Nothobranchius furzeri: one gene and its partner. The protein of the gene in region 1 purifies or fractionates together with the protein of each later gene. This does not show direct contact. Links are inferred from orthologs where the notes say so. Each region holds a gene or a part of one and is shown on either strand. Other genes may lie near its edges.

What was found.
Region 2: the proteins of sirt7 (region 1) and fbl purify together in Homo sapiens (affinity purification with mass spectrometry; 3 studies listed by BioGRID, with this or other methods). This does not show direct contact. The link is inferred for Nothobranchius furzeri from reciprocal best matches to the Homo sapiens genes SIRT7 and FBL.

The regions. Positions count from the first base shown.
Region 1 is NC_091746.1:22,678,958-22,683,332, reverse strand, and holds the start of sirt7 (NAD-dependent protein deacetylase sirtuin-7), read left to right. Parts: upstream 1-1,407; 5' UTR 1,408-1,520; coding exon 1,521-1,625; intron 1,626-1,970; coding exon 1,971-2,108; intron 2,109-2,957; coding exon 2,958-3,062; intron 3,063-3,136; coding exon 3,137-3,207; intron 3,208-3,280; coding exon 3,281-3,353; intron 3,354-3,437; coding exon 3,438-3,536; intron 3,537-4,375. Other genes in the region: uncharacterized protein cp110, read left to right, coding at 242-324, 501-660. UniProt on the Homo sapiens protein: NAD-dependent protein-lysine deacylase that can act both as a deacetylase or deacylase (desuccinylase, depropionylase, deglutarylase and dedecanoylase), depending on the context. Specifically mediates deacetylation of histone H3 at 'Lys-18' (H3K18Ac).
Region 2 is NC_091745.1:58,454,895-58,458,708, reverse strand, and holds part of fbl (rRNA 2'-O-methyltransferase fibrillarin), read right to left. Parts: intron 3,070-3,814; coding exon 2,975-3,069; intron 2,896-2,974; coding exon 2,725-2,895; intron 1-2,724.

The DNA of each region.
Region 1 (4,375 bases):
CCTGAATGATTTTCTGTGGTGGGACTTTCAGAGTCATGCATAAAGTAGCGCCTGCAAACCTCAATGAAGCCCAGCAGTGCTAGTAATGGTGCTGAGGCTGGTTAGTGTTTTGGTTATTTTATCTCCTCCATTTAAGACATCTTCAGTGGAGAAGATGGAATTATTTATGCCCACACTCGTGCATGTTAGGGGGTAAACTGATGTATGTTCCTCATGTTTGTGTGTTTTGTGCACATTTTAGAAAGAACATGCAGGTTTCCCCAGAAGAACGGGTTTTCTGTCAGCAGCAACACAAAAATCACTGGAGAGGAAGAGAGAAACCATGTGAGTGTGTAGCTGGTAAAAGTTCACGTCTGTCTCCATCACATCTGCAGAAGATCTGTTGAAGTCTTAACACATTTTAATGCTGTTCATGGAAAACTTCTTAATACTCCACAGGTTAGCAGAAGCTACAGAAAATGTCTCCGTCAGCTACTAAAAACGTCTTCTCTTCCCTCCAGGATACAGAAAAGGGCTTTGGAACGGCACAGGGGAGACACGACAAAGACTGGACAGAAGTCTACATTCACAGTCGAGAGACCTCAGGAGACGAAACGAGGACAGTTCAAAGCAAATCCTCAGAGACTCCCCACGAGCGCCTACTCCTCGAGACCTCGATGACACTTCCCTAATTGGCCCCAGTGAGAACTCTAACAAGGCCTCCAGTGAACTACATGAAGAGTGTGTAACAGATGTTTAAAATCTTACATTCAAATGGATTCTGCGTTTTCAGGAGCTAGTCTTAGTCTTTTTTTATAATAAAAAATGCTTCAAGTTCCTTTTATTCATCTTGTTCGTGTTTAGAAGATGCTGAGAAAACAGAAGCGGATCTGACGTGGTGACGACATCAATAGAGACAGTTTAGCCACGGCAGAATGAAAACTAATGTAGGAGAGCAAATTAGACCCATTTCAGAGAACCACTTCCTGTGCAGTCTGGCTCACCTTTGTAGCTCATTGGGATGCCTGATCCTAAATTAGCTTCAGCTGAATCCACATATTTGTAAGGGGACCCTGGACTCACTTGGACCTGTGAGAAGAGATAGTTGAGCGTTTTTGTCCCCTTTTATGTGCCTTCAGCCAAAATTAGACAATCTTTTAAACATATTAGCACATTTTGACCCTTAATTTTGATAATGATGTGCTTTTGTAACACATCAGCATGTTACTGCAGTGGTCTGCCCGGTGCATCCTTAAAAGATTTGTACTGGTTTGGAATATTAGCCTAATTGTGTTTACACCTTTATACTTAGTTCTTGCTTTTGGATATTTGATAATGTTGGTATATTATGTTTTTGTTTGTTTTTCACAATAAAAGTTTCTCCGGGTTGATTTTGTGGAGAAAGACGCGCATGCGCCCTCCGGGCGGCAGGGGGCGCTGCTCGCTGCCTCATCATCGCTCGGCTAATATCCGCTCAGCTCGCGCTGAGGAGATGAGATGAGCTTTGTTTGTTGTTGTAGCTCTTCGGGTGTCAGAGCAGAATGGAAGGAAATGCAGAAACTGGTAATTCTTCTCGAGCCAGAAGGAAAGCTTTGGACAAGGCTAAAATACTTCAAAGAGAACGGGAGAGGAAGATTTTCAGACTGGTGAGATGAGAGAAGGGTAACAATAAAAGATGGCAGCGCTAGCAAGCTACATTAGCAGTAAACCAGCGGTTTCCCGAAGTTCTGCAGACATGCTGATGCATCCCACCCACTAAACTACAAATGTTCACGTGTCAGAATCCAACAGTTAGGCTGTAAACGTCATTAACATCTGACCAGTGTCACAACGTGTGGTATTTCCCATGTTTCTGCTGCTATAATGGAAAACAAGTCGTTATTTTATCTTAATGCTTGGACCCAAAACTCCTCCACAGTCTGGGGAAGGAAAAAGTGGTAGTGAGCACATCTCTACGTAGCACCGGTAAACCTGCCCGGTTCTCGCTGCAGGTCGGACAGGTGCTGAAGAAGCCGGAAACGGAACGGTCTAAGGAAGAAGTCGCTGCGCTTGTCCTGCACAGAGAAACCGTGGATGAGGTGTGCAAGAGACAAATCCGCAGGAGTGTCCTCAAGAGGAAGCAGGAGGAGGTGAGACTCAAGGTTAACGTCGTTAGGGACAGGTGAGCCCACACCTGTAGCAAATCATTCAAGTGCAACAAATGATCCTAAAGTTCAAAAACTGCTATTTTTATGAGTTTATTTTAACTATAGTTATATTTTAATTATCATACCACACAATGTGTCTGGTTTAGTGAAAAAGTTTGATCAAATGTGTTTTTAGTTGCTGCTCAGTGTCGCAGTGGTTAGCGCTGTTGCCTTGCAGCTAGAAGGTCTTGGGTTAAAATCCCAGCCTGGGGTTTGCATGTTCTCCCCAGGTACTCCGGCTTCCTCCCACAGTCCAAAGCATGGCTGTCAGGTTGACTGGTCTGTCTAAATGGTCCTTAGGTGTGTGTGTGTGCTCGGTTGTTTGTCCAAAGGGTTCAAATGAAGTCAGCTGGACTTCTTTGGTTTCTTGAAGACGTTTAACTTGTCATCCGAGGAGCTCTGTCAATTCTGACTGGAACGTGGGAGAGTCAAGCTCATAAGCTGTAGCCGTCTGTTGTTATTTAATGAGCAGAAACTACTCTGAATATCCCGCGTCTCCATCCCCTGATGAGTCGTTGGCCTCTATTGAGAGGGAGTGGTTGTAGTAGAGGCTAACGACTCATCAGGGGATGGAGAGGGAAGTCTGGGCGTCTCTGCTTAGGCTGCTGCCCCCGGGGACCCTGGATAAGCGGCTGAAGATGGACGGACAAAAGAAAAAATCAGGATTTATTTTCACAATAAATTCAAGATATCATGTTTAACCAGAATTACACATTTATCATTAAACGCGCGATGTTTGACTCTGATTACCTGCTTGTTTATTCTCAGGCTCTGTTCTTGTGCTGTTTTCAGGTGTTTGATGATGCTGATGAGTTGAAACTCAAAGTCAAACAACTGGCTGAGGCGGTCAGGGAAGCTCATCACCTGGTGGTTTACACTGGAGCTGGTATCAGCACGGTATTCCAAACCTCCCCTATTTGTTGCTCTTGTGATTTAGAAACCTTCAATGTACCAGTAGTTTCTCGTTTTAGGCTGCTTCTATCCCAGACTACAGGGGCCCTAACGGGGTGTGGACGCAGCTGCAGAAGGGAAAGGCAATAAGGTGAGAGGCACATCTTTATCAAAAAGCTGGTCATAGTCTGGGTTTCAAATTTCTGTCGTTTCTTCTGTCCCAGTTCGTCAGACTTGAGTAAAGCTGCACCGACGCTCACTCACATGTGCATTAGGATGCTCCACAAGGAGAAGCTGGTATGTGAGACAAGTTTGGATGGTTTAGAAAGGTTGGACCTCATTTCTAAAGCTACATTTAATTCTGTCTGTTTTTCAATCAAGGTGAAGCATGTTGTGTCACAGAACTGTGATGGACTTCACCTGCGAAGCGGTCTTCCCCGACACGCCCTCTCTGAGCTTCATGGGAACATGTACATTGAAGTAAAGCCTGATTTTTTACTTCTCCGTCTGCGTCGGCACAAGGGCTCTGACAGGGTTCACAGGGGGTGATGGTGACATGCCCAAAATTTTAAACATCCGTAGAAAGTGATGGAGAACGCAAGCTTGTGATTGGTCAGGACGCCGCTTTCTGTAGATTCGTCACCAGCTCCGCCGTTGCCCTGTTAAAGAGTAAAGCGATATTTAGCTGCAGACCCAGAACAGATTGAAGATTGCATCGTGGAAAAAGTCAGAAAATATCAACGTTTATTCACCCGTGACTGAAGGAGTACAAAATACGGAACAAACGTGGACGAGAGCGACAGGAAGCGTGGGTTTAGAGGTGGCGAGGGCATGAAGAGCTGGAGGAGAATGGACAAAATTGTCCGTGTTATAAAGTCTCTGAAACACATGAAGACGTTAGTAAACACGTGTACCGGATACAGGAGTTTTATGGTGGCAGGGTACCGCAGAAAAGAGCTACGCCCTCTGCTGTGCTGGCGGGGAATTGCTTATCGATGCTCCGCTGCCTGAACAGAGGGTCGCATATGAAAACCTTTCAAACTTCATGTCAGGAATCTTGGCGTGACCTTTGACCCAGCTCTCACCCTGGATTCTCATGTCAGTTCTCTTGTTCGCTCTTCCTTCTTCCATCTCAGGAACGTTGCTAAGCTGAGTCCCATTCTGTCTCGCTCTGAACTTGAGACAGTTCTCCACACCTTCATCTCCTCACGCTTAGACTACTGTAACTTTCTTTTCACGTGTCTGAGCAGAACCTCCCTGAACCGTCTACAGGTGGTTCAGAACGCCTGTGCTCGGCTTCTGACCAAGTCCTCCAAACA
Region 2 (3,814 bases), on another chromosome or scaffold:
AAAGATTACAGGGTTCTGGACCAAAATATGGATCTCCAAAAGGTCCAAACTCTAAACTGGGCGGTTAAACCAAACTCAAGGTGATATTTTAAACTAAACCAAAAACCCATGACACTCTAAATGTAATAAAAGGGAGATTTACACCACAAAAAAGATGAACTCTAAACCAAAACGTAACCGCTTATGCAAACGCAAGAAGCTGTTAGCGAAAATGATAACAGTAGCTTTACCAGCTTTAAGTTCAAGTTACCAAGTTTAACTAAACCAAAAACACCCAGCAAACAGACCAGCACGGAGGAGAGACTGCTACCACCAAAACAGCTCTCCTAATGTCTGAAAAAAGCTCCTTTATGAAGGGAGAAACGCTCCCGGTGATTTTCTACATCTGTGGTAGAGACGGAGCAGCGCATCTGACCCCGGAAGTTGTTGTCCATTGCCGGGAGACGAAGGCGGGCAAAATAGGAAAGCAATCTAGTAGCGGACGGACATTGTTCCGGGTCTTTGGTATTTGGTGGAGATGTTAGTGAAGGCGGAGAAGAGGGCGAACTAGAGGAAAAACAGGCAGATTCCTCCTCTATTTACAAACTCCTGGGGATGCAACAAGTGGGCGTGGTGCGTCGACTACCGGATCTGACGTCGACAAATTTTTAGAATCGAGCCGTCAACGTCATCGAGGCTTCGCTACAGCCCTCTGTTTGATACCAAGTGGAAGCTCATTCCAGAGACCAAGAAAGCCTGATCCCCTCTAGACCTGTACCAAGTAGGGCTGCTCAATTAATCGAATTTTAATCACAATTATGATCTGAGTTTTGAACGATTATAAAAACAAAACAAGCCGATTATTTGCTCCTCTCTCTTCCACTACTCCGAGTTGCAAATCAAGCGCTCCTCCCACAGTTTTGCCAACTTGTTGCCATGGGCTGCATGGTGACGCAGTGGTTAGCACTGTTGCCTCGCAACACGAAGGTTGCAGGTTCGAAACTTAGCTCGGCTGTGGCCTTTCTGCGTGGAGTTGCGTGTTCTCCCCATGCATGCGTGGGTTTCCTCCGGGTACTCCGGTTTCCCCCACAGATCACAACATGCCCTATAGGTTATAAATTGTAAGTCGCTTCGGATAAAAGAGTCTGATAAATGAATAAACATAAACTTACTTTGTCGCCATTTCCAACAGCTTTTCAGACCCCTTCTTGACTTTTTAAATCCTAAAAGTACCTAGCGAACACCCTAGAAACATTTACGGTAACCCTTAGCTACTTTCTGGGTAACTTTCATTGACATTTCCTGCAGGTTAGCAAAACATTCCGCCTGCGCCCCGGACTGTACTTCAGGACATTAGGAAAGGAAATGATGTAGTGAGTCGCAAAAGAAACGGTTCTCAGAGCCGGCTTCCTCTTGCAGAGGTGTGATCAAGTCACTGCTTTGCGAGTCACAAAGTCTTTCTAGTCAAGTCCATGTCAAAGACAATCAAGTCCAATTCGAGTCCAAAGTCAATGATGTGAAAGTCCAAGTCAAGTCCTTAACTTTGAATTTTCAAGTCATATTCAAGTCATCTGTCCAACTTCAATTTAATGACAATGATAATAAATAAATTCCAGAAATAAAGCTTCTTAAAGCTTCATTTACTTGCTCAAACAAGCAGAAAGCGCAACTGAAGTTGATTATGAACAAAGTGCTGCTGCATTTAGCAGAGCAAGATCAAACCCAGAATGAAGAATGATTTATGATTTTTGTCCATGTCGTGCCACTTTTGTGCTAAAATATTTAATATGCTCAAGTCATCATCAAGTCAATAGATGCAAGTAGATTCAAGTCGCAAGTCACTGGTGTTCAAGTCTGAGTCAAGTTGTAAGTCTTTATAGATTTTATCAAGTCAAGTCAGAAGTCATTAAAATAATGACTCGAGTCCAAGTCATGTGACTTGAGTCCACACCTCTGCACTCTTGCATTAACTGGAGTGTGTGACACACACTGTACCTGCAGGCTACTGAGCCGTCAGACTGCAGGAGCGTGCGTGTGTAAATTCTTGCCGTTTGTATCATCATTGTGTTTTACAGGGAGTCAAAATTCTCCCATACATGCAACCTAAATGATGCAGGAGGTATTTCAAGCTCCTCTCCTCTTCAAGCGTTTCTCCTTTAAATGGAACAGGTAGTGCCTCCGCCCTTCACGTGGCCGATCTGCGAACCGCGCCCAACCGTAGAGCGAGATCTGAACGGATTGCGGATCAATGTTGGTTGCACCCCCAGGGCACGGCCACGATGTATCCCAAACGTGTGGACACAGGGGGAGGTGAACGCCGGTAAAAATGACAAACAAAGCTTGGGCACCACCCGGGCGGTAAGTCGTCAATTATTTACTGCTCGACAAGAACATTTACCGCCAATGGCGCTCAGGCAGTTAAAAGTTTCCACACCTGCAAATGTAGAGAAAATGTGAGATAATGCTCATGTGTGCTGCAGGAAAACTTTTCTTGATTGTTAGCTCTGCGATGTTCTCTGTGCGTAACGTGCTACAAACTTACTCGAGGCCAAATAAACAAATCACCTCTTGTAAAAAAAACAACTAATGGCTCAAGCCATCGTCGATGGTCGAATAATTCGTCCCATCGCCCAACCCTAGTGCACACATAAATACATTTTGGTCAAGGTCTGTATTTGACAACTGTTGTAAACACACACACACACAACACACCATTAGTTGCGTCGCACTGAGTGTTGAACTTACCGGACCTACGATGTCAGACACGTGAGACACAGTGGTACCAGAGGCAGCGCCCAGATACATGACCTTGGCTCCAGGTTTGATATGGATCTGGTCAATTCCTCCCAAGATGGCAGCAGCCAACTTTGAGCGGAAAGGATTCCATGCTCTGTACTCAATCTTCGTCTCCCCTTCCTAAAGGATGGACACCCAGCCGTTATCATTGTAAGGAAAAGCGATTAGTGATGCAATCCAGACAAAACTTCTCTCTCACCTCCACACTCATCCTCTTCTCCCCATAGACAGACTCTCCTACAACCATATTCTTGGTCACCAGAGCATCCTCCTTCCCTCGGCAGATAAACACTCCTGACAAAAAACACACAAGTTAGAGCTCAAACACTCTCTAGCTTACTCGCTCCACATACAACAGCTACTGTTGTGGTGAATCATTTCAGCAAGGGAAGGGCCCAACATGCTACCAGCATTAGCCAACTACCTAGGGCGTTTCTCAATTAGGGTTGTCACGGTAACCGGTGTAGCGGTAAACCCCGGTAAAAAAAGTTGGCAATAATAATAACCGTCTTGTTTTTTAAAAAGTATATTATCTCGGTGGATTACCGTGGCTGCGGTGTAGGTGCGGTGACCCTTACCAGCCACCGTATCATCTGCTGATGTTGCCGGCGGCACATGCGCGCTTTGTTGTCTACAACCAAAACTTTCTTGAAGCTAAAGCTGAAATAATGGCCAAAGGAGGAGACGGCAGTGCTCAGGACATTTATTATCCCTCAAAGAAGACAAAGTGGGAAGTACGGGCATTTTTTTGATATTTGAAGAATGCCGAGGGACAGTTGATAGAAGACGGCTATCCTGTTTGCAGCACGTGCAGAAAAAGTGTCTGTGAAAGGCAGCAACGCTTCAAATCTCATGACACATCTGCGTGACCATCACCCACAACTCTACAGTCAACGTAAGGCAAGCTAACGTTAGCGTTTTAGCTAAAATGCGTGATCCGAGGATTTGGGTTGAGGGAGAATGCAACGAGTCGCTATATAAAGCAGCCGCAGTGCCGCTACCTGCATATAAACCGTGTCGCGGACACCGCCATGTTGAA